Linked DNA regions of Oryzias latipes. The protein of the gene in region 2 interacts with the protein of the main gene of each other region in a pairwise test. Links are inferred from orthologs where the notes say so. Each region holds a gene or a part of one and is shown on either strand. Other genes may lie near its edges. The genes, in order: exoc5, protein-tyrosine kinase 6, khdrbs2, htt and F-BAR domain only protein 1.

Region 1 (5,904 bases), on a different chromosome or scaffold from region 2:
GTATAATTATTAGTATAACAGAAAGAGTTTATGCAGTCAGTCACAAAAGACACATTGACCTTTTGTCACAGATTACCCTGAAATTCTTGGCGCATCTGCGGTATTCAGCCACGTCACAGATGGCCAGCATGCCGCCCATTGAGCTGTAGCTGAACTGCTGTAGATGCTCGTGAATGAGTCGATGAAACCGAACCCCCAACTCCGTCAGCACCGTGTCCACGTTTTTCCCATCCATGGACTTGCGCACGTGCTCCACCTGCCGACTGACGTATGCGCAGACCTTTGAGCAGGCCTGTCAGGGAAACGAGAAGAACTAGTTGGGAAAAAGTCTGGAAGTGATTTTTATGAATTGCATCCAATGCGTTGTTTGTTCTGCGTGCGAGCTAAGCATCTCTTACTGTGGTGTACTGGATCATGACATTGTTTTCATCCTCGGGCCGGAAATCTGTTTTTTTCTGCTCTGTTGCCAGGATGTGCTTCATTTGCCCCACCATACAGTTTAGTGTTCTGTGCATAACAAAAACATATATTATTGGTTTCTGTTAAAAAACAAAATAAAAAACAAAAAAGTTGATCAATGGCTTAAAAAATAAATAAATAAAAAGAATCACCTGTCAATTCCAGTGTCCAGTTTTACTTCCATCTGTTCGATCACTTCTTTCTTCTTCTGCAAGCACTCTGCCAGCTTTGGAGATGAACTGAAGACAGGTTTAGAAAATTTAATTCAAAGAACCCCCCCAAAAATAAATAAATAAATAAATAAGGTAATTTGAAATCTGAGTATGCATAACAAACAAAGATGATAATTCTTAACCACAACTGACCTTATAAGAGGCATCAGCTGGTCATTAAACTGCTTGTCAAACAAGTGGAAGATGGAGTTTGCCTGTTGAACAACATCCAGGAAGTACAGGTTGGCATTCTTGGCATCGGATGAGGGAATCGCTGAAAATTTAGGAAAAATGCAGCAAACGCAAACTTAAGCTATATTGATCATTAAATGTTAATGCTTATCGGCTAGTGAAAAAGAGATTCTAGCTCTAAAATGTTTCTAGCTCTTCATTATTGTGGGAGATCCTCAGGTTATGCTTTATTTAATGTCCCAACTTCCTGAATCTACTGCTTTGAAGCTCCTAATAGTGAGAAGAATGAGCCCTCAGAAAGCAGTTTAAGAGTACAATTTGGTTCATCAGAAGTACCTGAAAGGCCAATCTCCAGAGCGTAGTCGATGTGGTCCACACACAGATGTTCAACCAGCAGTAGGAAGATGGAGTAGGCATTTTTAGGCAGATCAGATGGATCTGAAAGCTGTAATAAAACAAAACAAAAAATCACCAAAGTCTGCGTTTATACATGTTCCTTCACGTTACAGAAGGAGAAGAGGCTCACCCTGTGACACCTCTCAAACGCGTGCCGAGTCTCCTGCAGCAGATTAACAACCAGCTCGGGGGACAGGAAGGTCTCTCCATGGGTGTCAAGGCTGGGGCCCAGTGGAAGGTTGGTGCGCTGTCTGATGCGCTCCTTGAGCTCCTGAATACTAAAGTAAAAACAAAAAAACGTTTAGCATTTTGATCTTTTTGTATGAAACCCTAACGTTTATTTGAGACCAAAAATGGCTCTTTAAATGATACCACATTTTCCTTGTTCTTGTTTTTTTTTTAAATTATATTATTAATTATATTATTCTTAGTCTTTTCTCCTGTCAGTTGTTATGGTAACGAACAAATTTCCCACGTATGGGATCAATAAAGTATTTCTGATTCTGAAATGCTTCATGACGTTTATGCTAAATCGTACCTGCCAGAGCCTATTGCACGTTTCTGGTGATTCTTTGAGTCATAGTATCGTTGCAGAATCATGGCACCTCGATTACGAAGGTATTCCCTTTCCATGTCAATGTAACTTTCCAAATAAGAGGAAAAGATGCTTTTTATCAGCTTGGAAAGGAACGTATGCTTGTCTGAACCAAGGTTGAACTCTGTTAGCTTGGTAGCCAATGCTGTGGTCCTGAAAGGTCAGAAAAGAAACAGATAAGAACAAAAAGTGTTAGAGTTATAGAGCATACAGGAAGTAAATTAGAAAAAGACAAGCAAAACCACCTGGTGTAAAGGTCATAGAGGTTTTTGAGGTACTGTTCTGCATCAGACTGTCGAGTTCCATCCAGTTTCTCTCTAACGTGCGCCTGTAAAATAAACAGCCAGCCAAAAATCAACAAATGTTTAAGTAATGGCACATCCAAACTCAATCACTGGAAAACATACCTGTAGTTTGTTTTCAAAGATATTCTGGATGAGTTTAGCCATGACTGTCTCTGGACTGCTGAAGACCTCGGCCACCTGCTTGTTGACCCTCTGGCAAAGCGCTGCGGTGTCTTCAAACACATCGTTCCTCGTGTAGGCACCCTGAGACAGGAACAACAACAAAAAATGGGTCAATTAAAGCAGCCAAGTCAAAGGCAGACTTTTTTCTTGCCAAACTTGAAGTACTCACTTCCTGACACTGCTTGATGTAGACGTCCACGCAGTGTGCATAACCCTATTTAGACAAACACAGGCGTTACCACCTTGATAGTCCAAGAAAATGACTATAACATTCAAAGTTGATGTTTTCAGACAGGCTATGACTCCAACACTCAGTCAACGTGTCTTCAGATGTCTTTTCCAGGTCACCTTGAAATGTAATAGAACTGCTGCAACCTCCCGCATACGACCAATCTCACCCCTGCGCTGGGCTGCAGTAAACTCCTGGATTAACTGCCTCTCCAGGTCGTGGTATTTGCCTGGGCAGGAATGAAAACAGAACCTTAAAATGTCGCAAACGCGTGTTACATCGTAGTAAAAATGGAGGACGATCGACCCGGTCAGAAACTTACTTGCAATTTTTGCTTTGACATCTGCAAATCTGTTACAGATAAAGTGCGCAATTAGAAACAATAGATATAAAAAAAACAGAAGGAAAGTTTCTTTGGGGGCATCTTAGTCAATAATACCATCTAATGCTTAATGTTTCTGTGGGGCTTACACTTTTCAGGAATAGACTAATACACCTCCTCCTTCTTGTTTGACAGCGCTCTTGTCTAAAGCTGCCTCCAGGATGCCTGACTCACCTGTCAAATGGCAGCTCCTGGGCAATGAGATGCAGCTTCTGAATTATATCAGCAGCTTCCTTAATCTGAAAGAGAGGGAACAAGTGTGTGTTTGAGAGGGAGCGAGGGAGATGCCAGCTGAGGGAGGAGGAGAGAGGGAGCACAACAAAGCCATTAGAGGTGGACATCCATTATCAAGTGGGCGGCCGCCGGCAGTGTCTCCACTTGGGGGATCATCATCTTAGAGCAGCCTTCCTCCACCTTCCTGTGTTTAACAGGGAGCTGATAACAGACAGGCTGCGCTCACCTGGGCATCAGCAGCAGCAACAGCAGCAGTCCTGACTTAGCAGCACATCCAAGTCTTTATTGGGATGGCTTTTTCCTGAATGGGCTGTAATCCCACAGGAGTCTGAATTGCCTTCAATAATCTGTCCGGCCAGGGATATCTGTCTAAAAAAAAGGGGGCCCTGCCGAGATACCCCTCCACCCCGCCCTCTCCACCTCTCCTGACATACATGCTGGCGAAAAAACCTCCAGACCCGCAAAAGGTCCGCTGTCCGCAACTCCTCTGTTCCTGCAGATGCCTGTCTCAGCTAACATCATTACTCTGCTCCCGTGAGGAGGATCCAGCCTTTCTGCTCGGCGAAGGTTTTCTAAGTATCTGTCCCCCAGCTAAGATTAGCTAAATCCCATGTAAGTAATGTAGCCGTCTCCCTGCAGTCAGGGTTTAGCAGCACTTGTCTCCACGCTGGCGGCCCAGCCCTCCCTTTCAGAAGGATTAGCAAAGCCATTCCCCTTCAGCTATTCACTTGCAGTTTTTCTCTTTCCTCCTCATATGGAGGTATGCTCAGGAAAAAGGAATCTGGCTTGATACATCTGCATGCATGGCTCAATCTCAAGCTCTCGTCTGTGGGATTGACCCTCAAACCTCCCTCTCTGCATCTGGTTGAGATGTTGCATCAAACACACATAAAACCCAAAAAAAACCCCAATGTGTCTACTTTGCAGAATCAAACTCTCTGGGGTCACTTGTTCTGAGAAAACATTGAATCATTTTTTCCATGACTAAAAAAATGTGTTGCAACAAACTTTCTGTGTGTTGCAAAGCTGACCAATCAAATTCTTGATCCCAGTCATCCCACTTTACATGCAATTAGGTTTGACATGAGCGTGTTGACATCCATGCTAGTCAGTCAGCCGGCTATTGTCAGACAGCAAATGACAGTTTATTAATCCAAATTAACTGAGGGATCCAACTAAAGGGATAAACTTTATAAATTTCCATGGATGGTTCAACTCATAATCCTGTTCAAACTCACCTACAGCAGTTTCCCAGCAGGGCCCCTCATCAGTGGTTTCACACCCACACATACCTCTTCATATATGACAGCAAAAAAAAAAAAAAAAAAGAAACTAGACGATAATCTCACCTTGTCTGGGTCATTGAAAACATCGCTACGCAGATCTCCATCCAAAAACTCGTTAAAGTAAGTCATGAGACGCTGAGCTTCCACGGCCCTCTGGCGAGGAGTATTCACCCCCTCCAGCTGGTCACCTAGGTGACAAACCTTGGTGGCAACGTAGCTTATGTGTTCATCGAGTTCTTGGAAATGCTGAAAGGCCACCTGACATGACACAAAACGAAGATCTAGCGGTTAACCAAAGAGAATAAAGTTTGTACGATGTTGTTTTCTTTCAGCAAACAGACCTGGTTACTCCTCTGGAGGTCTTGCACTTTGCGGGCAAAGTCCTTGGCCTCTCCATGACACTGATCCTCTAGCTTTTCCACCTTTCGCTGAATCTTCTCATCTAACTGCTTTAATTCTTCAATGTGGCTTTTAAATTCATCCAACAGCCTAAAGGAAGGAAGAGTAGGAAGAAAAATTAAAAATACTATAATTGGGTAAAAAAAAACACATCACAATTAAATAACAAAAACAAACAAAAAAACTGAAAAACATGCACGAATCCCCCTAATTCAAGAAGTAATTGGGTATCAGAAGGTAATACTTGGTGTATAGTTACAGTTTAGGGGTACAAAATAGTGTCAAATACTTAATTCATGGGTCCCTAGACTTAAGAAGCTCTAAAAAAAACTCTCAGCTTCGTCAGCTGCATTTTAAGTGCCATTAGGATTGCGGTGCAAATGTTCTAAGTCAGCACCACTTTTCAGAGAGTGGGAAACATCCTGAAACGATGAGTGTATAATCTTCTAATTCCTTCAGCACTAGCTACAGCTTAGACGTCTCCCATCCGCTCCCAACAGACACTCATTCCCTGGCTGGTGACTCACAGTATGGTGGCCTCGAAAGAGATGTTGTCTCTGACTCTTCACTGAGAGCTTTCAAAGAAGTGGTAAAAACAGTTTGTGTTGGAAGTAGATAAGTCAGGACGGGTCTACAGCAGAGTTAAATTGTTATGGCAGTTTTGCTTACGAGAAACAACTATGCTCCCAAGTGTAAACATCATAACCACACTGGAAAAAAAACACACACACTAAGGATAAGTAAACATAGTCATTACATAGTTTTCTTAAAACCATCAAAACTCTAAATTGGTGCTGGGAAGCCCAATTTAAGTTTAACTAAACTGAAGGAAAGTTAACATAAGTGCTATTTCTGTCAGTCATAGTGCATGACTATGACATTTTATAAAATGTCATCTATGACATTTTATCAAAAGAAATTCATAAAATGTTTACAATTTTTGATTGTCTGAGAGTAACAAAGATGGCAAAACAGATGAACACAGAAGTAAAGATCAAAATGATTTGTTTGAAATCTTATGACAGAACATCTGCTAACATTATGCTAAAAAAA
Region 2 (7,001 bases):
TGTGCATTATCAGAAATGAACGCACCTCGCAGAAGCAACCATTCTTCGCTTCATGTCTTACGTTTTAGACTTCCATGGCGTGTTAATTTCTAATAACGCACATTTTGTCGGCCATTAACCCTACCTTAAGCCCCATACTGCCAATGAATGATGCAATATAATTTCCTCCTTTTATTCAGTAAATCCAACCTAGACTTCTGTAAAAAAGTCTAGAGAGTGTATTCATAAAAATCTTAAAATGTCAATATCTTTTGGCAGCTACATAGACTGACCTTCAGACCTAAAGGCAATAAAGTTAAAATACCATAACAATAAAGTATGATGAGAAGGAAGCAATGATTTATAAGCCTGTTCCTGGTATCAGTGCAGTTTATTACAAGTCAGGTACTTACTGGTATCACAAAAAGCAAAAGCTTTTTCTTGCTTTGAGAAATGATCAAAGTCATAAGGAAATGTTTGATTTTTTTAATATTTGCTGGGAAAGTGGTCAACGTTTTGGAAACAACAAACGTACTTTTTTCATTTTCACATTCTGACACATCAAGCTTTCCACACAAGAAGCTTCTTAACCTGCAGACTGCATTAATGACTCCTCTGCTGTGAATACAGTTACGGGCTACTTTATTAGGCACACCTGTCCAACTGCTCGTTAACGTAAATTTCTAACCAGCCAATCACATGGCAGCAAAACACAAGGCATTGAGCCTTGTAGACAGGTGAAGAATGATGATTGAAGTGACTTTGAACGTGGCATGGTTGTTGGTGCCAACTGCTAATCTAATAGGATTTTCACCCACAACCATCTCTAGGGTTTACAGATAATGGTCCAGAAAAGAGAAAATATCCAGCGAGCAGCAGTTCTGTGGGCAGAAATGCCTTGTTGATGACAGAGGTCAGAGGAGAATGGCCAGACTGGTTCCAGCTGATAGAAAGACAAGAGGAACTCAAAGAACCACTGGTTCCAACCGAGGTCAACAGAAGAGCATTCATACAGCAGCAGAAGACTACCCTGGGTGCCCGTTTGTCAGCTAAGAACAGGAAACTGAGGCTACAATTTACACAGACTCACCAAAACTGGACAATAGAAGATTTGAAAAACATTGTCTGATCTGATGAGTCTCCATTTCTGCTGCAACATTCTAATGGTAGGGTCAGAATTTGGCGTCAACAACATGAAAGCATGGATCCATCCTGGCTTCTATGGACCTATGATGCCAAGGATTAACCTATTCAACCTATTCAAGGGTTTTTTATTGCCATTGTCAGTGAACAAAACAGTTTCACAGACTAGGAATTTGCTGCGGTGCCAATGTGCCACATACAATACTTACGAATAAAAATGAACAAAACAACAGTAAGCAAAATAAAAAACAACACAAAGGTCAGAACAATAAATATAAATAAATAGTGCAAACAGTGTAAACAGAGGATGAAGAAGGTGCAGGTACGTATAAGTGAAAAGTTTAAGGGGGGAGGGATTAAAAAGTGTTTCATGAGTCTGACTGCCGAGGGAAAGAAACTGTTTTTATGTCGTGTGAAGACAAAAGGGGTCCAATCCCTAGCAAGGTGGACCTGATGAAGCGACTGGTAATATGTATAATATAATATAATATATGGTAATAACAAGCAGTGCTGCTAGCTAGGCTTCTGTAGCCTAGTTGCTCCAGAATAAACCTGATGTTTTTCCTCAGATTTTTCTCTGTAGACTTTTCCTTTCTGTTGTCTTTAGCATCCATAAATGTATCTGTCTCAGTTGCACCCACTCCCGTCTGTCTTCCTGCAGAGATCAGTGTCTTTCTTTGTCTCTCCTTCCTGTCCTCTCCTAAATATTCCACACCTGTTTCTCTTCATCCAATTTCTGACTCCACTGAATTCTGTTGGGGCAAAGGGGTTGCTGTAGTCTATCCCAGCCACAGTTGGGCGAAGGTGAAGTACACCCTGAACAGGTCGTCTGTTGCAGGGCCGCAGACAAACACACATTAACATGAAGTAGGGCCGTAGCAATTCATGTTATCACCAACTTGATTCATATTAATAATTTGTGGTTGACGATAAGATTCATAATCAAAATTGGTTCATTTTGAATGATCCGATTCACTAACTAAAAATTGATCCAAAACATATTTATGGAAAACTTCAACCAGTGTGACTCAGAGAGAAATACCTGCTACTGAACAGAACAGGTGACGTTTTCTTGGATTTCTTCAATGTCATTAAGTGTAAAGGAAACATGTGTCCAAACAAACAAGTTAATAAGAATGAATGTCAAATCCATTCACATGTTAGTTTCCTAAAGTTCAGTCCACTGTTATTTTTCCACATCCAAAGAATCCAAAGGGAACATTCTTAGAACATTCTAGCACACTGGATGGTCACATGACTTTCTAAACTCAAATTGTTTCCACACATTGGACTGGAATGATGGACAGATCAGTTTTTGCTGTCATCACGTGTTGTCCACTGTGATGAACGTTTTAAGGTTGTAAAAAAATGTTGTGCTTACTGTTTTACTATTCCAATATTAATATAACTGATTTATTTAATTTTGAAAAATGTTATAATGGTATAAATCAATTTGATTAACAACTTGGTTCAGACAGATTGATCTGGTTGGATCGTAGAAACAGAAGTGGATTCATTGATTAATCGATGAATTGTTACACCCCCTACTATGAAGTATGTTAGTAGACTGTGGGAGAAAACCTGAGCGCCTGGTGAACACACACATGCACCAGGAGAACATGCAAACTTCACACAGAAAGGACCCAGCTGGGATTCAGACCAGGGCCTTCTTACTGTGAGGAAAGCGCTAACCACTACACCACCATGCAGTTCTGCAACCCCTTCCATGAACTGAGTCAAAAACAGTCAAATTTTGTTTTTGTTTTTCTGGATCTAAGGGTTTTTTTTTGTGTTTTTTCTGCATTTTTTTGTGCAGCTCCATCAGATGTTCTTGATTATGATGTGAGACTAAGTGATCTGAATTGAATACATTAATTCCGTTGTTATTTTTCATCCACTAATACTTTCTAGAATGTGATGCTGTTTTATGGACGCTCCTGTTCTGCTTTTGGGCAGGACTAGCTTTAACCATAGACGTTGTGACTGAGAGAAAAACTCTTCTGGATGTTAGTGTTCATCTGGAGTTGGATGTTTTTTTTTTTGTTGTTTTTTTTTTAATGTTTCATCAGAACCCTCCATCACTGAAAAAGCGCCTGGCTGTGACTGTGAGTGGTGAACGCGCAGAGCGGGAAGTGTTCGGTCAGAGCGCAAACAAGCTGCGGTTTCTGTGTGTTTAGCGAGGAGAAGGCGCGCGGATGACGCCCCGTGTGCACTCACGGCTGCACGTGCAGACTCTCCGTCTGCGTGAGGTAGTTGAATGGGACGATCCCGGTGTCCAGCACGCGCCCAGTCCTGTCGATCCTCTGCGCGGTCCACCAGTCTCCGCTGCGGTTCAGGACGTGGAACAGGTCCCCCTCCTCGAAGGACAGCTCCTGCTCATGCCGGGACTCGAATGACCACAGCGCCGTGTAGATGGCGCTCTCCGTGACCGCGCTTGGGGGGCTCTCCACTGTGGCATACCCGGAGGCTTGCTCTCCTGCCTCCTTAGTGCTTCCACCTTCTTGATGAGGGGCAGCCTCTTTGTCTTTAAAGATCCTGTCCCACAGCGAGCCCAGGCACGGGAAAGCGCGCCGCAGACACTCACCCATGGATCACAGCGGGGCCGCGCTCTTGCAAGTGTCTTACTCACTGCACCAGCCGGGCAGGTGGAGGTGATGGAGCGCCTTCGAAATGCTTCACAGAAACTGGAACTCTGTAACTTCCTTAATCCCTGCAGTAAAACCCCGCCTGCATGATCTGACACAGCACTCAAAAAGCTGCACTCAGAGGCAGACCGGGTCCTCCAGACCACTTCAGTCTCAATAAGTCCTTTATCTTTTTGCGTGGATTCATGCGAGTCTGTAATAATCCATTGAAAATAAAGGCATTGTAATCAGACACTTTAAAGGTTATTCCGTCTGATTCTGTTTATTCATGAGGCGCCAGTTCATAGTCAGGTTGTTTTCAAAGAGCTTTATCAGTTATAGTTGTTGTAAACCAGCATTTCAGTCCAGATCATTCCAGTAAATTCACATTATTTCACATAACAACAGTCTAAGATGAATGAAAAATGATTGTCCAACAGATTCCATTTAGGGATGTTCAGTTTATAAAGCACACCGGAGGGTAAGACGCACTGCAGATGTTTGAGAAAACAAAAGTATTTTTATATATCCTAAAAATTCTCATGACCATTGTATTCCCTCTTTACATGCTGTCCTGGGCAAGCTTCGTAACTGTGCCAGAGTCATTGACTATAAATATGAACAGCAGGACCCCTCATCCCTCCCATCCCAAACAGGAAGTCTCTGCTGGCTCCAAGAAGCCAAAATCCCACAGACTTCTGTAGAAAAATAAACAGCTGATACTCAGTCATTCTGTTGGTCAGAATAACTTTTCCTTAACATCTACATACTCCAATTTTTAGTGACGTTCTTTTATGGCAAGTTATTCAAGTTTCAAACTGACCAATCACATGCCTTAGTAAAAGCATGTGATGCTAAGGCAGGTTTGATAAAATCGATTAATTGATCGGAATTGCTCCAAGCTTAATAGATCAATAATCAATCCATAAAAGTAGAGATCAATCTTTTATGCCTTTCCTTTTCTGGTTACCTAACGCATAACATCAGTAAAGCCCAAGTCCACTAGCTTGATGCTAACGTAAAATGGAATTTTCCATAGGACAGCTAATGCTAACGCTCAGTCGACCTAAACATTGGTGACTAAATGAACAGCTTTACAGTGCTCATCATAAATGAGTAATCCCCACTACATTAGTCAGAAAACCTTTGGTGTCTTTTTTAGAATCAACATTTTCTGTGAAATACTAAACTATACACCTCCAAAGGTGGGCCATTGGTTACAAACAACATATGATCATTTGCACACACAAAAAAGTGATTTTCCAAACAAATTTATTCAAGCCCATGTTGCAAAACATGAGTTCACTACAGTCATAGTCTTAGGAGAAAAGCCAAACTTAAGACCACCAAATTCTAATTAACATGCATTCAACCACAGGCGAGTCTAATAATTAATTGAAGAGGTGTCCAGCACACAGGTGACTAGAAAAGGGCATTTCTTTAACAAAGAACAGCCCTTCCCATTTCACGCTGTCAGCAATTGCTTCCCATGGAAAAGAAATGTCACAAAATCTGAGACAGGAAATCAATTATTTGGACAAGAAAGGTGAGGACTACAAGAAGATCAGCAAAGCTTTACATATCAGTCAAAATAGCATAGCAAAAGTGATCCAAACATTGAATAAAGATGGAAGTGCAACTATCCTACAGAGACGTGGATGTATTCATTTAAAAAAGATCTGCAGCACCATCAGTAATCACCTCTCCATGTCTGGGTTTATGAGTTCATTCAGTCTCCCGCTGCAAAAGGATCTTTCTTCCGCTACTTCTGTGTCTCTGTGACCCACGTTAGTTCAGGAGAGAAAAAATAAAAACAAAAATCCAACTAGACAATCTTTTAACCCTCTTGCTATCTTAGATGATCCCACCCTTGCATTGACGTGTTATTCCTACAATGACAAAGGCGGATAAAGGGGATAAGATTCACAAATCATTGAAGAAAAAAGGTTCAGAGCACTGTCTAGTGGGTCTAGATGACCCATCTCAGAATGTTAAAGTGCCTAGGATAGCAAAAAGGTTAATAATTGTCTTTATGAAAAGATGAAATAAATCATAAGATTTAGGAGGCCCAAGCAAACATGCTCCGCTGCCGGTCATAGCGAGCTGCTGTAATGGGATCCGACGGGGGCGACCACAAGTTGACGACCTGTCTAGGCTGTATCCCTCCTTTGCCCAACAGTCGCCGGGACAGACTCCAGCAACTCTTCAGCGCCAGCAGGTTAAGAATATTGTTCCAGGCCGTCCACGTAAGCTAACTTCTCAACAGGAGCGTCTTCTGATGAGAAAAGTTAAAGAAGACCGCCATGCAACTTCACTGCAGCAAGCTAAAGCAGTAGAAAGTCATACTGGATTGACTGTTTCCTGTGACACCATACGGCGCACACTGCAGAGGAATGACATGCATGGTTATCGTCCATGAAGGAAGGCTTTCCTAAAGCCCATGCACAATAAAGCACGCCTAGAATTTGCTAGACCCCATGCTGAAAAAGATGAAGACTACTGGGGCTCAATACTCTGGAGTGATGAGACAAGAATCACCTTTTTGGAATTGATGGTTTTAAAACTGTATGGCGTCATAAAGGTGAGAATTTCAAAGGAAATGCATGGTTCCTACAGTGAAACATGGCGGTGACAGTGTCCTAATGTGGCCTGCATGAGTGATGCTGGTGTGGAAGGGGGGGCTGTATTTCATTGATGGTGTCATGAACTCAACAATGTACTGCTCTAGACAGAAGGACAAGATGCTGCCATCACCTCATACACTTGGTCGTTGAGCACTTCACCAACACGACAATGATCCAAAACACATTTCTAAAGCTACTGCTGCATTTCTGCAGAAAAACAGGGTGAAGGTGATCAAATGGCCAAGTATGTTTCCTGATCTGAACCCAATCCAACACCTGTGGAGAATTCTAAAGAACAAGTAGAGCATCACTTTCCATCCAGGATCCAGGATCTTCTTGAAGACTGGACAAAGATAAATGTTGCAATATGTCGCCAACTTGTTCATTCCATGCCTAGAAGACTTGGTGCTGTCCTCAAGTACAACTGAAGATTATGTGATCTAAGTTTGATCATTAACCTTAATTTCATGTTATGAAGTTTAAGAAGTGTTCAATAAAACTTAACCTTGTGAGAAGTATGTACTCATTTATGCTGAGCACTGTATAAACTCACAGGCAGGACTTTTCCAAACTCTTTTGAGGAAAAACTTTTTAAGGTAACCATTAGTGGTCTAAAGCACTCCTCTGTAAT
Region 3 (6,271 bases), on a different chromosome or scaffold from region 2:
ATGCACTGCTTATTTTAGAATATTGCAGTGGCTCCAGAGAGAGAGAGAGAGAGAGAGAGAGAGAAAATGTAAAAAAATCTGGTTAATATGCTTTTGTATATCTTAAATTTCATGTATTTCCTTTCATCAGTGCAAAAAAAAAAAAAAAAAAAAAGAAAGGTGATATGTTTAAAAAAATTACTTTACCTGTGCACACAACGGTGCATTTAAAGTTAAACCCAAAACATTACTAACAAACTTCAATTTTCTTAAAAGCGATCCAGTGGTTTCATAAAAAAAAATGCAGAAATGTTTTTACGACTCTAGTAATGCTTTGTTTGACATGTCACGTTTGACAGGTCACGTTTAGAAAATCCGCAGAAAGCAAAACAAGTGCAATCACCTTTGACTCCCCTTAATCTGCCGAATCATGCCTGAGGCTTCATTCAGACTTGAAGCGCATAAAGCTCCTAAAGCCCGGGGCCACAGCCAACTGTGTTTTAAAATAAACACTTTACTGTTACATCGATTTATCCTCAGTAATCCGAATTATGTCTGAGGTTTGCATCGAACCTTAGGTGCTATTCCCAAGGACAGCTTGATGGTAGCTGCTAAGAAAAGTTGGAGAGCCATTCATGCGCTTTCATAAAGCAGATCGGTCCTTGTCCTTGCATCACAAAACTGTTTCCCTCCTCTGGGAGAGGTTGCTGTTAATTAAATAGTAGCAGCACCTCAGCACTCTTTACTTGCTCGGTCAGGTAGTTATAGATTAGCTCAAAACTTGCACCTCCATGTTTTCCTTGTAGTTGCACTTTGCTGCAGACTTTTTGCACATGCAAAGCTTCTTTGTAGCTTAGAACAGCAAAAGGTTTGTCTGTTCAGTGAACTGAAGCATTTTAGTCACACGCAGCTTAAGAGAATTTAGGAAAATGCAAAAGAAAAATAAATTTCCCTTATCTTCTTTGGTTTAATTAGGTTTAAACAAACATTACTTTGTTCCTGTGGCAAACTGGTGTTAAACACAACATGAGTTTTTATTATCTTTTTGGGATGTGGTTGTAATTTTTCAGAGACAGGCAGAGCGGGGTGCTAACAGGGTTGTGATTGTAGCCCAATTTTAGAGTAATAAAAAGTGTTTTCTAACATCCCAGGGGTAAACAGGTGTTTGCCATCATAGCTGGCATTTAGAAGACTTTTCTAATTGTTGTTTTTTAACTACACGCTAGCCTTTAATGAATCTTCATCACTAACGAGTGACAGTAATTAAAGTAGGGAGTGGAGTTTTAAAACATCAGTGGATGATGTTAATTTATGACAGCCAACTAATTAATAGTAATGTTTCTGATCTGAGGATAAGTCTGAGGATAAGAGCAGAACACAACAGGATTTATTGCATCCTCCTCCTATCTGTAGGTCAGGGCTGACATTGTTTTCAAATCACAAACACTTGCAAACATTTGCCCTGACACATCTGTGTCACTGAAGTGCTATTAAAAATGTACAACTGTGTGCCTCAGCATCTTAACCTGATTACTTCTGCACCAAGTGGGCCAAACAAAAGGCTGTTGGGCTGTTTTCCATATGAATTTTCCAAAGCTGAAATCTGAGCATCCTGCTAGATGGACGTAGCCTCTCGAGGATTTGAACCTGGCTCCAGAAACCTGAGTTGATGATGTGTTTTTGCTTGTAATTGAACTCTGGATGTGTCTTTTCGGTGCTGCTGCATTGCCAGCTGGCTCGAACAGCAGTAAACCTCTCACTCGTGACCTCTGGGTGTCAGTCTCATCACAAAACCTTCAGGCTAGTTCGGATGCTGCTCCAGATCAATAAAACAAACTGAAAACTCTAAGCCAAAACAGTATGTTGCTACTGCTGATAAAAACTGAGTGTCAATGTGTTAGCCTGAACACAAATTGATATGCAGGAGATGAATAAAGTCATAAAAACTGTGCTCTTATTTTAAAATGATCTGTTGAACAGAATTGAGTTATGTTTAAGTGCAGAAAAAAAAACAATAGGCTTTTTACTTTGAGTTGTCAAGAAATATACAATATATATAATAATATTAAACTGCATGATATTGTCTTTTTGCATAAATTGTTTTTTGTGGTAAGAAAATTATGAAGTATAAATGCAGTGATACACTGACAGGTTCACTCCTGACCACAAACAAAAGTAAATATATTGGTCACATTACATTTTTTTGCCCTTTGAAATTTTTGTAAACTTGATTTCAGTACTAATTTAATACTTGGTTTGCAATTGTATTACTTTCAATAAAAAGTAATAAATCAAAGGGGAACATTTTTAAGGATCATTGACTTTAGTTGAGGTTTCTTGTTTATTTTTTGTTTTATTTTGGTTGTGAAAAATTGTGTTTTGGGTTTTGCTTAAATAAAAATACTTAAATTATACTAGAAAATTTCATATGTTGTTTTATTAGAAGAGAATGGTTTGCTTTACAGCTAGAAAAGGTAATACATCCTCTTGTATTTTAGTTAAACTAAGCTGCACGCATTTCTACAGCACTCTGAAACTGCAGCAGTAAAGTTTGCATCATTAAGTCAAAGTGAAGTCAGTGTCAGTGTCATCCTGTTGTTTTGTTGCTAAAATAATATTTGGCAGTTAATGAATTTTTTTTATAAATTAATTCAATTTCTTGTATGAAATTTATCAAGCAATTATGAGTAGAGAATAACTGATTTGTATAGGGGAAAAAAGTAGCCAAACTTTAAGTACTGATGATACTTAACCCTACGATTCCATGTTTCTGTTGACTTTTGCTGACTTGAGGAAAAGCACAAATGATATATACATAAATAAATAATCTAAGTATTTGTGATTAGGTTGAAATATGATATGTTAAATGTACAAATGTAAGCGTGTGATTTTGGCCTTAAAGTAATTCAACTTTAAAAAAAACTTTGAAATTTCTTGAGCTTTTTTTTATTTTCATTATTTCAATTTAAACTTTTTTTATTTCTCAGGGACACAGCAGATTAAAAGCTTTCCATGCAATGAGCCTGAATTAGCTAAGTGGTTGTTTTTCATCTCCGGACAGATTTAAAAATTGTCTACCTAAAAAGCTAAAATACACCAATTAAAGACATATTTTAAAATCACAAAAAAAGTTATTTTAAAAATTAACACTCTTTTATGTTCACAAGTTGCAGGTTTTGTCCTAAATGCTTTCCAGTAAAATTGATGACCCATTTCTGAAGGTGCTGTATGGATAGAAAATAGTCAGATTTGTGATTGTCTGATCCTCGATTTGTAACTCCTACAATACATCTTGTACATCACGGTATACTTGAAAAAGTGGGAAAAATGTCAAGTTTCTACTAGATATTATTCACAATCTGAGTTCAAAGTGGCTAATTAGGAAAACTCTGATGACCTAGCATTTTAGCAGCATTTAAATGCATCATCTATGGACAAATCCGGAGGTGTGAAAAGAGTCTCACAGCCTGTCCTGCACCTGTAACTCCAATTGGTGTGTAAATATGGTTTTGTGTGCGTGTATCAGGCATTCAGTGCTTACTATTTAAAGATTTCTATGCATAGGAGCTGTGGTTAGTTTTAAGCGGAAATTTCAAGTTGTTTTCTATTTGTGTGCTTTTGATATTTGTTTGTATGTGAATACACAGTTACACACAAAATGTTTTGTATGAATTGAAAAACAAGTATTATGCACACACAAATCTAGTGAGACTATTTTTTCTACATAGCACAGCTGCATGAACAGTGTTAACTTCCATCTTATACACTTGCCTTATACAACGCTTACTCTGCATTGCTTGTGGTCAGGGTCAGAAAGTATCTTCCTTAAAATTATGTTTGAATTGTTTGGAAGCCGAACAACTGGAATATCAATGGCAGTGTAAAGAAAACAGGCAGAAGCATACAGTGCTAATCCACAATGAATGAGGTTTTCCTGCATACAAATCAAAGGGGAACATTTTTAAGGATCATTGACTTTAGTTGAGGTTTCTTGTTTATTTTTTGTTTTATTTTGGTTGTGAAAAATTGTGTTTTGGGTTTTGCTCCTCCCTCATATCACATTCACACCACGAGTTTTCATTCATCACATCTAGTTTTAGCTTGCTAATTACTGTCAGTGTTTTTAAAAAGCTCTTAGGATTTGGGATTTAATTAGGGATCCTCTTTTTTAAACCTGCCATTATTTTTGATTTAGTCAAGTTCCAATCCAGTTTGGTGTTTTAAATGATATTTTAGTTATTTAGTGATTTAACATTGTCCTCTTTTGTTTTATTTTGCCAACCACAGTTATGAAGGATGGCAAAGTTGGACAAAAATGATAAGCAGTAAGACAAGAAAAACGCCACAATTTTTGCTTTGCAGTTTAAATGACAGAAAATACATGAAAAAGATAACTTCAAATGTATCTGATAACCATACTTCCTTAGTCAACACTCACTTTAACCCCTCATTTCATTGTTGATTTTTTTCTCTAAAATAATCAATTACATCATTTTTAAAGCTGCAATAAATTCCCTCTATTATGTTATCATCTGCCTCTGCTTGACATATTGAAACATAGCTAAAGTTTCACTGAAGAGCTGGTAACTCTGCACTTCTTTTTCATGTCAAGATGTCCAAATCAGAGATTACAGTAATAATAGCAACGCAAATCAATATCGCTTCTCCAACAACTGTTATAGTCTTTGACTCAGAAAAGCTGTCTGTGCTCACTTTTTAGCTTCAGGGGATCCCAAGTCAGAGAGATAAATGACTCAGGCAGAGAGATCAATTACTTTGCATTCATAATTGACTATTACAGAAGATGCTATTAAACAAGACGAAAAAAAAACACACTACAGTTTTGCCTACATGTATTTGTCAAGTGGAAGCTATTAATTCTTGTGAACATTGCTGATCTCAGTCACTCCTCAGTGGTTTCGTGGAAATATTCCTCCGTGCTTTGGCGGAATCCTTTTATTTCTATGAAGACTTCTCTTGGAGGAACACATGAGAGTGCGAAGAAAAACATTTTTACAACACAAATCAATATATCTCACCTTTTCTTTATCCCTCATAGACCCTTTGCCAAGGATGGACATCTTCACTCCCGTCTCCTCTTGTAATCTTTTCATAGAATTTCCCCGTGGTCCCAGCAGCTTCCCCACAAAGTTAAACTATGACATAAAAGGGATTTGGGGAAGTTATTTGTACTGCCAGCGTTAAGGTAGAACACCAATCATATTTTGAAAAACAAATACTTCCAAATTTGTTAGCAGCATGCAGGAATTCAGACGTTCTGGGAAAAAGGTTAAACATAAAAGACACCTTCCATCTAATAGTCAGTTATTGAAAGAATAATCTCATGTTCCACTTGCTGCTCATCATGAGGTAAACCTGTAATGCAACCAGTAATAAATCAATATCATTGCACTTGTGTTTAGCACATTAAAGGTGAATGTTCTCATCTGCGTTTCAGAATGACACATGTGTCTCTTTCTAGCTCGGGCTGCACCCTTGACACCTGTGCATTCTATTGACATTTGGGATCATCTGATTGGATTCAAAAAGGGGGGAGGAAAAAGAAAGAGAGCATGGACCCATACTAATAACGCTGCTGAAACATCGCTGAGACGGTTCCAGAGGTCAGTGCTGAGATAAAGTCAGAAATAATGAGTTTCTTCCCAGTGGGAAATTAAGTAATACTATCCAGATGACAAACCATCAGATTCACGCCTCAGGGTTCTGACTATCATTTCTCTCTCACCGTGCACCAGCTAGTGTTCATATTGAGAAAAGTATCGCAGTGGGTTGATACTGGCAGCATACCCCCAAGATTAACAGTGATTAATCCAAACAGTAAAACACATAGCTATAGTCAAATGTGTCATTTTAAAGAAAATATGGAAGCACACAAAGAAAGTCTATAAATGTATTCTAGCTTACCAAAGCATGTTCAATAATTAGGGTCAGATCCTTCTATTGTGATTTTTTTTTTTTTTTTTTTTTTGCATGGTCCACCTTCAGAGCTGAACAGGTGGTCATCTGCCCACTACAGCACACTCAGCCCAGCCCTTAAATCACATTAACCTTTCCAGAAAGCTCCCACTCCCACTGAGCCTGAGCAGCTAATAACTAACTGCCAGCTGCGCCTGCCTGCTGCAATTCAACGCCTCAAAGTGCACGCTCATCTTATTTCATTAACATCACAAAAGAAATCTGAAACCAGGCCTAAACATTTGATGAAACAAACAAACAAAAAAAAAAAACGGACAAAAAATACCAAGCAAGGGCAAGGTCATCACTGTCCTTG
Region 4 (6,271 bases), on a different chromosome or scaffold from region 2:
GGCAGAGGACGCTCTGCAGGCCTTCCACCAGCTCCGCCATTATCTCACATGCCCGCCACTCACACGGGTCTGCAAAGAAAAACAAAACAAAAAAAAAACGCTTGGACTCAACAGAAACAACCACATCACGTGAAGTTATTTTCTAAAATCCACATCTCACTTTTGGCACGCCCCGAATGCACATCATCTGCATCAGCGTCTTTGTCCCCCGCCTGTCTTTTCTCTGCATGCAGCAGGCGGTCACCTGGACTCACGGCCACTGCAGAGCAAAGAACACCTTTCAATTCATTTGGAAGACTCCAGATCCATTCCAGGTCAAGGTACCAATAAAGGCACCCGAGTATACCCGTGTACACCAGTGGGGCTGCGACTTCTACTCAGGTGCAACTTATATGTGATTTAATTTTTTTATAAACAGCAGGCTTGTGTTTTCAGTATTTTCTCACTGTCAGCCACTAGAGGGCACTGCAGATGTGTGTTCCAGCATTTGCCACCAGTGTTGCCAGATTGGGCGGGTTTCCGCCCAATTGGGCTTCTTTTGGTTATGTTGGGCGGGTAAAATTGGCATTGGGCGGGTCTATAAAATTTGGGCTGCTTTTCAAAATATTTAGCGGTTTTATTGTCATTATTATTATTTTTCTTATTATTTAAAATATTAAGTAAAAGTATACTAATTAATATATAGCGTAAAAAAAGCATTGTGAATATATGAAACATTACAGTAATCCCCCTGTTTAGTTGGTGGGCGGGTTTTACGATGAGTTTGGGCTGGAAACTGTCGCTCAGATCTGGCAACACTGTTTGCCACCGACAGCAATGCAGAAGAAGAAGCGCCGTCCTCGGCAGTGTTGTTCCAAAGTGACACAGATGAGGAGGAATTTAACGGATTTAGAGACTTAAAGTGATATCAAAAGTTTAGAACTAACTTTTTAACATGTTCTCTATGCAAAGGTGCTCTGAATTAATGCTTATTTGTAGCGCTTGGTAACTTAAACTATAGAAAGGGAACAGTAAACATCGTCTGATTTTTTACAACAAAATATATTACAGTAAAAAAGAAAATGGAATAAATGCGCCTCAACCAGTAAGGTTCTAAAAGTAGGATTGAGTAAATAAAGTTGTTCATTTTCAACATTAATGTAGCTTCTCCAGTACTTTTAAACGGTTCAGGAGCCTGAATGGTGCTTAAAAAGTAAAGAGGGAAAAAAAACACTCATTCTTTGCAGAAACACTAAAGTGATGATGATGAGGCAGCACGAACGGATGAAGGAGACGCTTTAATGTGCCTAAGATGCTTTATTTCCATGACTCTGGCTCTGCAGCTGCAGCTCAGCTTTCTCAAACGTGGAAGTTAACTATGTTCATCGCCATGATGAGCCTTTTTCAGAGCGTTGTACACATCACTCTGACCCATCAGGTCTCTGAACTAGAATCTATTGCTGGGAGGTTCTGTAGAACCGCTTTGCTGTCAGCATTTTGGCTCCGTGCATCAGCCGCTGTGCAGCTGCAGAGTTTCACTCGTTCTCATCTGAGCCGCTATGAAGAGCCGCAATCCTTGTTTTTTTATGTTACTGGCAGCAACATGAGACAGAGTTTCAGTTTGGTACCATCCTAAGTAAAAACTAAGTAGTTCATGTCTCATAACAACGAAACAAGCTGCCTCTGGCTGCAGGCTTCCTGTTGTTCTAATGTGGTGTAGAGCTGCTCAAAGATGCTCCGTGTTCTCTGCTGCCAACTAGTGGTTGGAGGTTGAAGTGGAAAACGAGAGTCAGACGCTGAAGGACGCTCAGAAATAATTCAATAAATGTCGTCCTGACAGCATTTGGAATCAATACAAGTATCGCCAAATGAACTATCGCGATGTATCGCCAAAATGATTTTTCCGAACACCCTTCCTAAATACGGTTACGGTAGTGAAGCGTGCATAATATGTTCAGTCCTATATTGTCAGTTATTATGATTTGACTTTCAAGATGAAATGTCCATTCTTGGTCTTGTACTTTGCTAAATATATATCTCCTAATAGTGTTACTTATACATATTTTTATTGTTTATTATACATGTTTTGGCGTCTGAAAAATACGATGACTAATAGGCAGGACCTAAAAATTCAGACATAACTGGAGCCTTTGGGTAAACATCTGTTGGTCTACAGTGATTCCCTTCATTTGTGATTGGGGCGGAGTTAGCAGCTGTCATTGGTGGCATACCTGCAACAATAATGAGGCGTAGGCAGTAGACGAGGGAGCAGGTTTGGGTGGTGTACTCCGGGGTGGAGAGCTTGTTCCAGACACAGGGCTGCTGCAGGGACAGACACAGACAGGACAGGGCCCACTGCAGGTCCACACTCAGGGGCAGCTGGTCGTGGAGCAGGCGCCACGCCACAACCTGGGCGCCAGATTCCACACGGAGGAGAGAAAAATGGGGAAAAGGCTTTCAAATGTGGAGCAAGAGTGTCCAACACTTTGACCTCCCGTATCACATATTTGGGAGCTAATGTGAAGAAACTCATGAGGAAGAGAAGATGCTGAAAAACTAGCGACCGCTCGGCTGTGGGGTGACAAAACAACATGCTCAGCGTGGAGGTGCATCTCAGACATGCCGTCCTTTTACCTCTGTGGCAGTGCAGGTGAAGGTGGTGATGAGGTGCTCCTTGTCAGAAGGAATTTGCAGTGATGAAGGCAGCTGGCCCACTTTCAGTAAATACTGGGACAGCGCTCTGCACAGCGCCAAAACCCTGGAGTAGAAACCTGGTTTGTCTGCGACAGTGACAGACCAAAAAAAAACAAAAAAACAGGTCCTGAAGTCAAGAAACCAGCAAAAAAACAGACCGAACTCACACTTCCCCTTTAAGACTCACCGTACAGATCAGCCAGCTGCTCCCAGTAAGGCTGGGGTTCAGGTGGAGGCAGGAAGGACTGGTGTGGAACAGGAAGTGACCCGGTGACCTCTGCCAGCTGATCTAGTGTGACCTGCAAGGTCGTCTCCAACAAAAGTGGGCCCTGGCCTCGTGCCAACCTCTGAACCCCCACGCTCACGGATGGACACAACAGGCCGAGGTTGAAATCCTGAGAAGAAGCAGTTTCACATCTCAACAGCCAAGCTGCACCCTAAAAACTGTGCCATGAAAACCCAAACTGCCGTTGAGCCCTTTCGATTTCTGTTCGTACCTTGCGGCTCATGGTGTTTAACAGCTCGGCAGAAGGTAGTTTAGTGAGGAGCTCTGTCGTCTCGGACAGGGAAACATCTCCACGAAGACCACACTGGGACTTCACCAGAGCCACGTACCATTCCTGAACGCAAGACAAATACTGGAGATACAACCTTCCTATTCGTCTTTTCCTTCAAAAGAAACAAAAAAAAAAAAAAAAAAAAAAAAATCAACCCACCTTATCAGCGACAACCTGCTCAGGGGAAGGGGGTGGATTTCCATCCAATGGGTGTGATGTCACTGGAGGGGTGGGGCTCCTGCTGTTGGCAACGGTTGCTCTGAACCTGTCCAGCAGGGAGTAGAACCTCTGATGCCTGTAGAGGACCACAGAGAGGGTAACAGAAAGAAAATCTGTATTTGAAATGCGTAAATATTTACTGATAGGCTGTCTAACACACACACACACTTATGTCTGTATGAAAAACAATGACAAACTAATTTCCAATATGGCTGCACAGATGGAGTCCTAAATTAGTGCAAGAGTCTGTCGACACGGGACAGACACGGGAACAAACACGGGACAGACACGGGAACAAACACGGAAGAGATACGGGGCAGACACGGGGCAGACAAGGGACAGACACGGGACAGACACGGGACGAACACGGGACGAACACGGGACAGACACGGGACAGACACGGGACGAACACGGGACAGACACGGGACAGACACGGGACAAACACAACACAGACACTGGACAAACACGGGACAAACCCGGCACAGAAACTGGACAAACACGGGACAAACACGGGACGGACACTGGGCCAACACGGGACAAACACGGCACAGACACGGGTCAGATTGTAGAAAGAATAGTGGGGACCCGACCCCCAAATGCACCCAGAAACTCTTTTTACTTCTTAAGCGCCACAGAAACCTAAGATTGCAGTTCAAATGTAAAAATGGAGACAAAAGAGAAGGAAAACCTTTGAGCCAGTCCACTGGTCTGGAGGTATTCCTGGATCCTGTCCAGTTCCTCCACAGGTAGCTGGGCTATACTGTTCTATCGGGTGGAAAAGAAAAAGCAGGTTGAAAGACAAACACGTCATAAATGCATTTGTTCCTCAGACTGAACGTTTTCCCCGAAGCTTCAGTAAAGAAAAAAATGATACGTTTTCTACCTGGAGAGTCTCAGCCAGCAGCATCTCCACTCTGCGACACGCCAGTGTGTCCACCATGCGAGCCAGAACCCTGAAAGGTGTATCCAGCAGTTTGTCCACGTACAGCATCAGCAGAGATCCAGACTGACTGAGGTGGATCCCCTCCAAACACTGCAGAGTCTTCTTCAACGTGGTGGGCTGCAGAAGGAGAGCAACCGCAAGAAGAAAAGTCATCTGGGACGGAAAATAAGAGATTGATGTAAACCTAAAGGTTAGGATCATCTTACAGCAGTGAGGTTGTCACAGCGGGACTGGATGGCCTGGATGAAGAGGCCGCTGGCGGCTGAGTTGCGGTGGACAGCGCTGATGAAATCCTGAACTGGAGGCTCATGGGAGAGGGCGATGAGGTCACGCACGTGATTGACAATCAGCCAAGTCAGATGCTCCGAGTCATGAAGGTTCTGGCACTGAGCGTAGAAGCATAACATCAAGAGAATTTTCCTTGTTTCCAACATTCGAACATCACCGTCACACGTTATTCAGACGCTCTGTGTGCAGTCAGGCCTCCTCACCACGTAGTCACAGAAGAGGATTAAGGCTCCACTGCGTACGATCTCTCTGTTCACCACGGCTAACCGCGACTCGCAGCTTTCCTCTTCGCCCTCTCCAGAGGAGTGGGAGCTCAGTAGCTTGGTGGAGGAGAGGCTGTGGCGTCTGAGGAGGAGAAGAAGAAAAGCCTTTGATGTTTGGAGACGACATTTCAAAAAACCCTCCCCTTTAATGCTTCTGCTGTATATTTGGGAGCAGTAATCCAACACATGCGGTCTGCAGAAGACCAATATTTAATGAGAATATTGCTGGTGGGAGGGAATTGGTTATAACCAGATGTTACAACATTAGATGATTGGTATAAGACTACACATGACATTTATGTTATGGAAAGTCTGACATTTGCAATAAAGGGGCATACAGCTAAAGGCTAGAAATGGTGGGCAAAATGGGTCAAATATATTGGACCTCTTAGACCAGATCCTACTTTAATTTCAGTAAAATACTTCTTTACTACAGGATAACAGATAAGAATGCAAGTTTGATTTTGTCTTGGAGGATGAGTAAGATTGACAGCCGTTCTGTCCTTTGTTCCTAAAAAAAAAAAGGGGGGGAAGAGTACAAAATGATGAACACGCATTCTGGATTACTGACTGAACATATTCATGATGTAAAATTATGTGTAACCTAGAAACAATGTGATAGTGGTGTGAATGTTGATACTCCTGTCAAAAAATAGAATATAAATAAATAAAATAAAATTGGGAACTCTGGAAAGAACTCCTATATGGGGAACAGCTCCCAGAACTAAAAAAAAGAAAACCTCTTAATTCTCTTTGCGGCAGAAGATCGGTCTTCTAATCTTTCCGCACAACTGAATGAAACAGGAAAAAACTGAGGAGCTCACATATCAGAGCAAAGACGTGTTTAAACACCTCATAATGATGTTTTACCCATCTTTTCTCTCCCGGACTGCAAGGAAGGACCAGATTGTTTTCACGATTCTTCTTTCTTTGCCTTTGAGCAAAACATGTGACCCCTGCCACATCCTCAAAAACTCACCAACATTTGTACACATCTCATATTTAATATATTTTCATTTGATCTTTATTTATCCAGGCAAAACAGACAACAACAAAAAAAAACTTATTTTGAACTTTGGCCTGGCAAAAGGCAAGGCCTTTTGAGAAAGAGAAATGAAAGGAGACGCACAGAAAAGCATAAAAATCAGGATGAGTGTCAGGACTCCTTCGAGTGTCAGGATTCCTTCTAAAACTGTCCACTCTAAGCGATTTTCGTGAATTATTCCAGTCTCTGGGTGGTGCAGACTGTAAGAAACCAATGAGGAGACTGTTTTGCAGAGCGGGTGTTGCACATGGGGGAGGAAGTGTGCAAAAGCTGGCTTGAAGAA
Region 5 (6,271 bases), on a different chromosome or scaffold from region 2:
GTTTCTGCAGAACGCCTCTCTTGTGGGCGGGACTGTTAGTAGGGAATAGTCCTAGAACTGTGAATACCAAATTATTATTATTACTACAACTTTTTGGGGGGAGTGATCCACTAGTAAAATAAATAAATAAATAATTTCAAATTCTAAGCTTCCCAGCCGTCTTTCGTGTGACATTGGACAGACACGTACCAGGTACCTCAAATTTGTACCATCTATTTTATCTATTTGATCAGAAAATAAACAAATATGTTTTTTACTTCAACATACGACTTGCGGCATGATTTACTTCCCAAGCGTAACATCTTCCCTCATCATGACACTTAAACCCCCCTCCTTCAGGGCTGGTACAAGATTTAATGGTTACGAGTTCATTCATCGTTTCAAAATAAAACACAGAAACTCTGATCGGTGTTTGTGGACGATTTCTATGGAAACAGAGCGGTAACCATGGAAGCATGGAGACAGTGATTAAAGGTAATGAACAGGTTGCAGGATGTGTGTGCGAGTAGGTGGGTTTGGGAGTCAGAGGATGAGGTTTCCTCTTTTTCAAGGAGGGTGGGATGTAATGCAATAAAAGAGTGGATAAGATGGTGGGAGGCGGCAGAGACGGTGAGTCAGGGAACTCTGGAGGAGGAATCCCATGACATAAAATCCCACATCAGAGGAGAGACTTCTGGTCCAGCTGGAGTCAAACCTGACCTGAGCGGACTCGCTCATTTTCTGCTCAAATTCTCCTCCCACACGGTTGTATTTCTCGATACACAATGCAAACGATTCAGCCGCTTTCTTTGACTTCAGCTCCGCCTAGTGAGAGGAGAAGAGATACGTTAATAATGCCCTTTAAGGTCCTCTCATCCAGTCACCTGAAATAAAATTAAAGACCACACTAACAGAATAAACAGATCTGATTTATCTGTAGACATGCAGCACACAGAATGAATTTTGATATAGAGCCATTACTAGAGATGTCACAACTGTCTGTTGAAAACTGAAATGTACGTTACACCATTAAACTGAATTATGTGGAAAGTGACTGAAGCAGTTCTCCAAATAGCCACTAGGGGGTCTTGTTACAGTCAATCTTTGATGAATTTTTTCATCTCTATTTGTAGATTTTATTTCTACGAGAACACTATAAGAGATTATCTAAAGTTCAATTTTTTCTTAATTTTGACAGTAATTCTGCACATTCTGAAGGTACACTCTTAATTGACAAGTGGCAGTCAAATCCAAAGCTTTGAATGACCTCCTGGCCGTGATTTAACATCCGTCAGGCCTGTTTGTTCCACATATTTGACCTTTTCCGGAAGGTCGGGGTTAAGTGACCTTGTGGCCTGGCGAGAAGGAGTCAACCACAAAGCAAAAAACTGTTGGAGCCCATTGCAAATACTCTACGAATCTGTATGAATCTGTATCTCTGTGAATCTGGTCAATGGTCTAGACACAGGCAGAATTATGAGCTAATAACACAATGGATGAGTGTGGGTAAGTAGCTTTTGCCGACGTTTTGAAAACAAAACTTGTGTGATTTTCTGTCAAGAGAATCAATGTTGTACAGAATTCACACTAAAGAAATCTTCAAAGTGGCATCCAACCTTCTCCAGTTCTTTCTGTGGTGCCCCCTCCTTTCTGAGCCGGTCCAACTCCAAACATTTGCCGTGGTAACCCTCTTTTGACTTCTGAAGGTGACTGCTCTGAACCTGCAGAGCCTGCACTGCCTCCACGGTCCCCACCATCTTCTCTTTCGTCTGGATGGTAAGCGCACGCACATTCAGAATAGGGGACTTGACGCCACACAAATCGTCACTGTGCTTTTATACTTGGAGGGCAAATGTAAAAATGACTTTAAGAGCGGGGTCAGTAATTGGATTTTCTGAGAAACAGATTAGATCAGGATGGGAAAGGCTTGATGCAAAGCAAGAGAGGAGAAAGTCTACAGCGGGATACACTGACAACAGACACTTTTTGGTTAAGACAGCCGGAGTGGATGGGTTTTTCTCAAGAATTATACCTTTCGGTGTATTTTGACCTGCTCCTCTCCGTATTTGTTTATTTCCCGGATGAGATCGTTCATCTTTTTCATGAGTTCGAGGTGGCAGAGAGCCACTTTGTCGGAGGACACCCTGAATACATCCCACATGGGTGCAAACGTCCTGAAAAACATTGTCAAATAAAAGACAAAAGTTCAAACCAAATAGTTTTAAGTTTAAGAAAAAATAACAAAAATATTTTGCAGACCTCCTCTGTTTGGACTTTTTTGTCTATCATTCAAATGACATACACTTATAAAAAAGGACGCAATGTTACACTTTCTCAGGATGCAATGTTATGTAGCAAAACAAAAATACAGCACTTATGTCAGAGGGGACAGTTATATATTCAACAACACCTCTGATGAATATAATGGGTTAAATAGAATATCTTACTAATAAAAGTAAATGATTTTTTTAGGACATTAGGACATTTAAAATGGATTAGTGCTTGCAAACGCATGTAGATTAAAAAGCACAGAGCAAGGTTTTCTAATTTGCAGGAATCAAGTGATCTAATTTCTCACGTCCTGCTTTTGTGTTCCTACGTCAGTTTGCTTCACACAACTGATGCAACATGTGACTCGACGCAAATAGGCTAAATAGAAGGCAATATGTTCTTCTAATCATATGTATGAACATTTGGTATTGCAGATGGTACTCATACATATCTCATACACAGCCATCTGAACATTACATCAATAATTATAAAACAACACCACCTCCTGGGCAATAGTGAACAGAGAGAGAGGAAGCATGAGAAAAGTGAAGGCTCTTCTGTCACTCACCCCTGTGGACTCCCATTGCTCGCCATTTTTGCCAGTTTGCTCATTGATTTCGAGTAAGTCTCCTCAATGGCTGCCCTGTAAAACACACACCCACATACAAACAAACATCAACACAAGCAGAACTATCAGGGGAGTCACTTTGAGCCAGGAGGAAATCAAGGATGCTAAAAATCCAGACAGGAAGGCAATAAATGGAAAAGATAGGTTTGGGTACATTGTGCAAAAAGCTGCATTTAAATGATAAACAGATCCAGTTTTTGTAAACCCTATCATGAAACTTAACACAACCATCTGTAGACCCGAAGGAAATAGAACGGAGAAGCACTGATCCAACCTGCCTGAGGGTAAAAAAAACAAACAAACTTGCAACTTTCTTGTATTTAGTTCACTTTGTATTTTTAGAGGTCAACAGGGATGCCAAAATTCACAGTTAAAAACCAAACTGTATGTTACGCCAATGAACAAAATCGTAAGGGAATGTGAATATATTTTCTTTAGTTGTAACTCAAAATTCAGTGACGTTAACCAACACAAGAGGATGAACCTTTTAGCTACAATGACATGTTTACAAAGTAAGCAGGGAGACACTTTCATTCACTATATTGTGCAGTTAAAACAAAAAACGCAATGGGCAAAAACCTTTCTTCACCAAAAAAAAAAAAAAAAACAGAGCTACTCATAACGAAGCATTTCTGATCCGTTTATAAACAGAAGAGTAAAAACTGAGAAATATGCTTCTAGTTTATTAAAAATGGTCTTTTTTATTTAGATTTTAACATTTTGTCCTGTGGTGCAATATAAATACCCAAACCATGTTTTAGTCAAACTAATTATTAAAAAAAAATTGCCTTTTCATCTTCAGGGAGGTCAAATAAGTCTCTTTGCCGCATAGACCCACAGATAAGGATTTATAAAAAGAAATATTAACTCCAGCAAGTAATATGACATTGTGTGTATGTGTCCATCCTGCAGAATACCAATATTTTAGCCCGCAGCTTTTTTCATTTCCTGATCCCGGATCTGTTTTCTGCTCTAGTGAATTTTATCCACCATGAGGAAAGGGCACAAGTGTCCTCCATCAATGCAACTTTAAAGTTGCATTGATGGAGGACACTCACACACTTCACTGCTCTGTTAAGTCCTTAATACAACACAGAATGACTTTAGGAGACGCTTCATCTTGTAATTGCTTTTGAAGAAACAAATGTTTTGTCAAATATAGACTAAATTAAAAAAATAACTAATGTTAGAATTATTTTGAACTTGTGCAGTCATGTTTTCTTGGTATTTTTGTCATTTTTTTTGTCTTTCAGCAGCTTCCTATAGAGGTTTTTGCAGCGAATCATCCACCTCCATCCAACTCTGTCCACTGGATCCTCCTGACTCACAACAACCACCCTCATGTCCTCCTTCACTACATCCTGAACCTCCTTTTTGGTCTTCCTCTTGGTCTCTTAAGCCTCCTTTTCCCCGCAGAGTCAGTGTCCCTACTCTCAACATGTCCAAATGTCGAAAGCATCTAACATTATCTGTTCCTCTGATGTTTTCACTCCTGATTCTCACTCCCAAAGAGAACCTTACCATCTTCAGCTCTGCTACCTCCAGCTCGAATATTTCTAACTATACTTGATTTTGTGACAAAGATCTGAAGTTTGTAAAGAAAACAGAATTAAATGAACAGGACAAAAATAAACTAGTTTATTAGTTTAAGAATAATCCAATATTGTGTGTTGGTAAAAGGCTAAATTAAAGTCTGCTGATCTCAATAAACAGCAAGATCTTCAGGTACAGTATGTGAGGGGCACCTAATTTTCTAAAAGAGCAAGTTTATTGTCTCCATAGGATGTTTGTGGAAGACTATCACAGCATGAACTGACGGATTCAGAAAACTCTAAAGCAGGTTGTGTACATGTAAAGGAAAATTCAAATCAGTCTTCTTATAATAATAAAATAATAATGGATTTATCTGCGCTTTTCAAGACACCCAAAGTGCTTACATTGTGTTCATAATTCATTCACTCCTCATTCTTACTTGGTGATGGTAGCAACGGTTGTAGCCACAGCTGCCCTGGGGCAGACTGACAGAGGCGTGGCTGCTAGTTCGCGCCTACGGCCCCTCTGACCATCACCGGGATCATTCATGCGCATTCACACACCAGTGGAGCCACACTGGAGGCAAGGAGGGTGAAGTGTCTTGCCCAAGGACACAACGACATTTTGGCTGGTGGGAGCGGGGATCGAACCGCTGACCCTTCGATCATTGGACGACCCGCTCAACCACCTGAGCCACTGTCGCCCCCAAATCAAATTATCACAGGACTGAGTGTGCAGCTATATGAAATGATCAAAAAAAGTTACTGCAAGTTTCAGCTATCATCTCAGTAAATATGTAAAATTTGAAAAACAGGCTTTTCCAGGTTATTTTGTTTTATACAATTATTTTGCCTATTTGCATTAAAAAAATCTTTCTGCAGGTTAATTCTTCACACACTGAGGCTAAGCATCTCTGGCAATTTCATAAATCAACTCACAACTTAATTAACAATTTATTATATATTTAGTATGAATCAAATTTTATTTGGTTACAGAGAACACTTTTTCCATTACTCTTGATGAAAACTGAAAAAAAGTGAATCTTGTATCTATTAAAAGATGAATTCTTATTAAAAAAAACTGAAAGTAGTTGTTTTGCAAAATAATAAAATACAAGAATTATTTTAAAAGAAAATCAGTTGATGAACCTGATGAATCAATACTGACTGATCTACCTTTGATAAAAACTATTCAGTGTTTGTACCCTGATATTACACGTTTTTGTTGAGAAGCTGCAGCTGTTAGGAGCCAAAACGACTTGATTGTTCAACAAAGAAAAGTAACAGACACATCAGGAGCCAATCCAATTTGATGAAATCCAAGAGTTACTGTCCCTGACAATCTCAGACTACACAGGGATGCTTATATTTGAACTGACCAATACCTTGTATTGTGTGAATTTTTAAAGATATTCATTAAAATAATTGAGCAGGGTCAGAGGAGGACAACATATTTGCATGAATTCTTATATGCAGGATCTAGTTTTTCTTTTTTCATTTTAGAAAATTAAACAGACTTGAGTACTCATTGCTCATTGCTTGTATTCAGTTTCCTTTTGTCTCTGTCAAGGGCAAACATCAAACTTTGACATTTTTAGGACTCAATAGTATTCTTGGAAATGTTACAGTTAGAAGAAAGTGGATCTGAGGAAACCTATGTCTGCAATTTCTAGGAAAGCTTAACATTGTTTCTGCCTTAAATAATAAGCATTTCACTTTAAACAAGTTAGATCTTATGGTCTAAAAACTAAAGAACTTTTGGTTTAAAAATAGACATTCTTCTTAGATCAGCTAAAGCGAAAATTAAATCCAATTTTTTAATGTAATTATTGAATTTATTTGCACTGGTTTTAACAAGAAA

What was found.
Region 1: the proteins of protein-tyrosine kinase 6 (region 2) and exoc5 interact in binary tests that used the Homo sapiens proteins (3 or more experiments, as listed by UniProt). The two-hybrid records come from large-scale screens. The link is inferred for Oryzias latipes from reciprocal best matches to the Homo sapiens genes PTK6 and EXOC5.
Region 3: the proteins of protein-tyrosine kinase 6 (region 2) and khdrbs2 interact in binary tests that used the Homo sapiens proteins (3 or more experiments, as listed by UniProt). The two-hybrid records come from large-scale screens. The link is inferred for Oryzias latipes from reciprocal best matches to the Homo sapiens genes PTK6 and KHDRBS2.
Region 4: the proteins of protein-tyrosine kinase 6 (region 2) and htt interact in binary tests that used the Homo sapiens proteins (3 or more experiments, as listed by UniProt). The link is inferred for Oryzias latipes from reciprocal best matches to the Homo sapiens genes PTK6 and HTT.
Region 5: the proteins of protein-tyrosine kinase 6 (region 2) and F-BAR domain only protein 1 interact in binary tests that used the Homo sapiens proteins (3 or more experiments, as listed by UniProt). The two-hybrid records come from large-scale screens. The link is inferred for Oryzias latipes from reciprocal best matches to the Homo sapiens genes PTK6 and FCHO1.

The regions. Positions count from the first base shown.
Region 1 is NC_019880.2:12,940,535-12,946,438, forward strand, and holds part of exoc5 (exocyst complex component 5), read right to left. Parts: intron 4,942-5,904; coding exon 4,794-4,941; intron 4,711-4,793; coding exon 4,516-4,710; intron 3,172-4,515; coding exon 3,107-3,171; intron 2,902-3,106; coding exon 2,873-2,901; intron 2,780-2,872; coding exon 2,670-2,779; intron 2,536-2,669; coding exon 2,491-2,535; intron 2,403-2,490; coding exon 2,262-2,402; intron 2,183-2,261; coding exon 2,100-2,182; intron 2,008-2,099; coding exon 1,798-2,007; intron 1,538-1,797; coding exon 1,390-1,537; intron 1,309-1,389; coding exon 1,200-1,308; intron 946-1,199; coding exon 825-945; intron 699-824; coding exon 612-698; intron 508-611; coding exon 399-507; intron 293-398; coding exon 77-292; intron 1-76. UniProt on the Homo sapiens protein: Component of the exocyst complex involved in the docking of exocytic vesicles with fusion sites on the plasma membrane.
Region 2 is NC_019865.2:29,675,814-29,682,814, forward strand, and holds the start of protein-tyrosine kinase 6, read right to left. Parts: upstream 3,975-7,001; 5' UTR 3,711-3,974; coding exon 3,340-3,710; intron 1-3,339. UniProt on the Homo sapiens protein: Non-receptor tyrosine-protein kinase implicated in the regulation of a variety of signaling pathways that control the differentiation and maintenance of normal epithelia, as well as tumor growth.
Region 3 is NC_019873.2:24,519,392-24,525,662, forward strand, and holds part of khdrbs2 (KH domain-containing, RNA-binding, signal transduction-associated protein 2), read right to left. Parts: intron 5,136-6,271; coding exon 5,019-5,135; intron 1-5,018. UniProt on the Homo sapiens protein: RNA-binding protein that plays a role in the regulation of alternative splicing and influences mRNA splice site selection and exon inclusion. Binds both poly(A) and poly(U) homopolymers. Phosphorylation by PTK6 inhibits its RNA-binding ability.
Region 4 is NC_019859.2:35,171,826-35,178,096, forward strand, and holds part of htt (huntingtin), read right to left. Parts: intron 5,026-6,271; coding exon 4,884-5,025; intron 4,779-4,883; coding exon 4,599-4,778; intron 4,510-4,598; coding exon 4,333-4,509; intron 4,215-4,332; coding exon 4,138-4,214; intron 3,526-4,137; coding exon 3,390-3,525; intron 3,312-3,389; coding exon 3,171-3,311; intron 3,069-3,170; coding exon 2,861-3,068; intron 2,760-2,860; coding exon 2,614-2,759; intron 2,389-2,613; coding exon 2,211-2,388; intron 260-2,210; coding exon 161-259; intron 70-160; coding exon 1-69.
Region 5 is NC_019862.2:14,990,873-14,997,143, forward strand, and holds part of F-BAR domain only protein 1, read right to left. Parts: intron 2,894-6,271; coding exon 2,819-2,893; intron 2,154-2,818; coding exon 2,012-2,153; intron 1,749-2,011; coding exon 1,596-1,748; intron 805-1,595; coding exon 700-804; intron 1-699. UniProt on the Homo sapiens protein: Functions in an early step of clathrin-mediated endocytosis. Has both a membrane binding/bending activity and the ability to recruit proteins essential to the formation of functional clathrin-coated pits.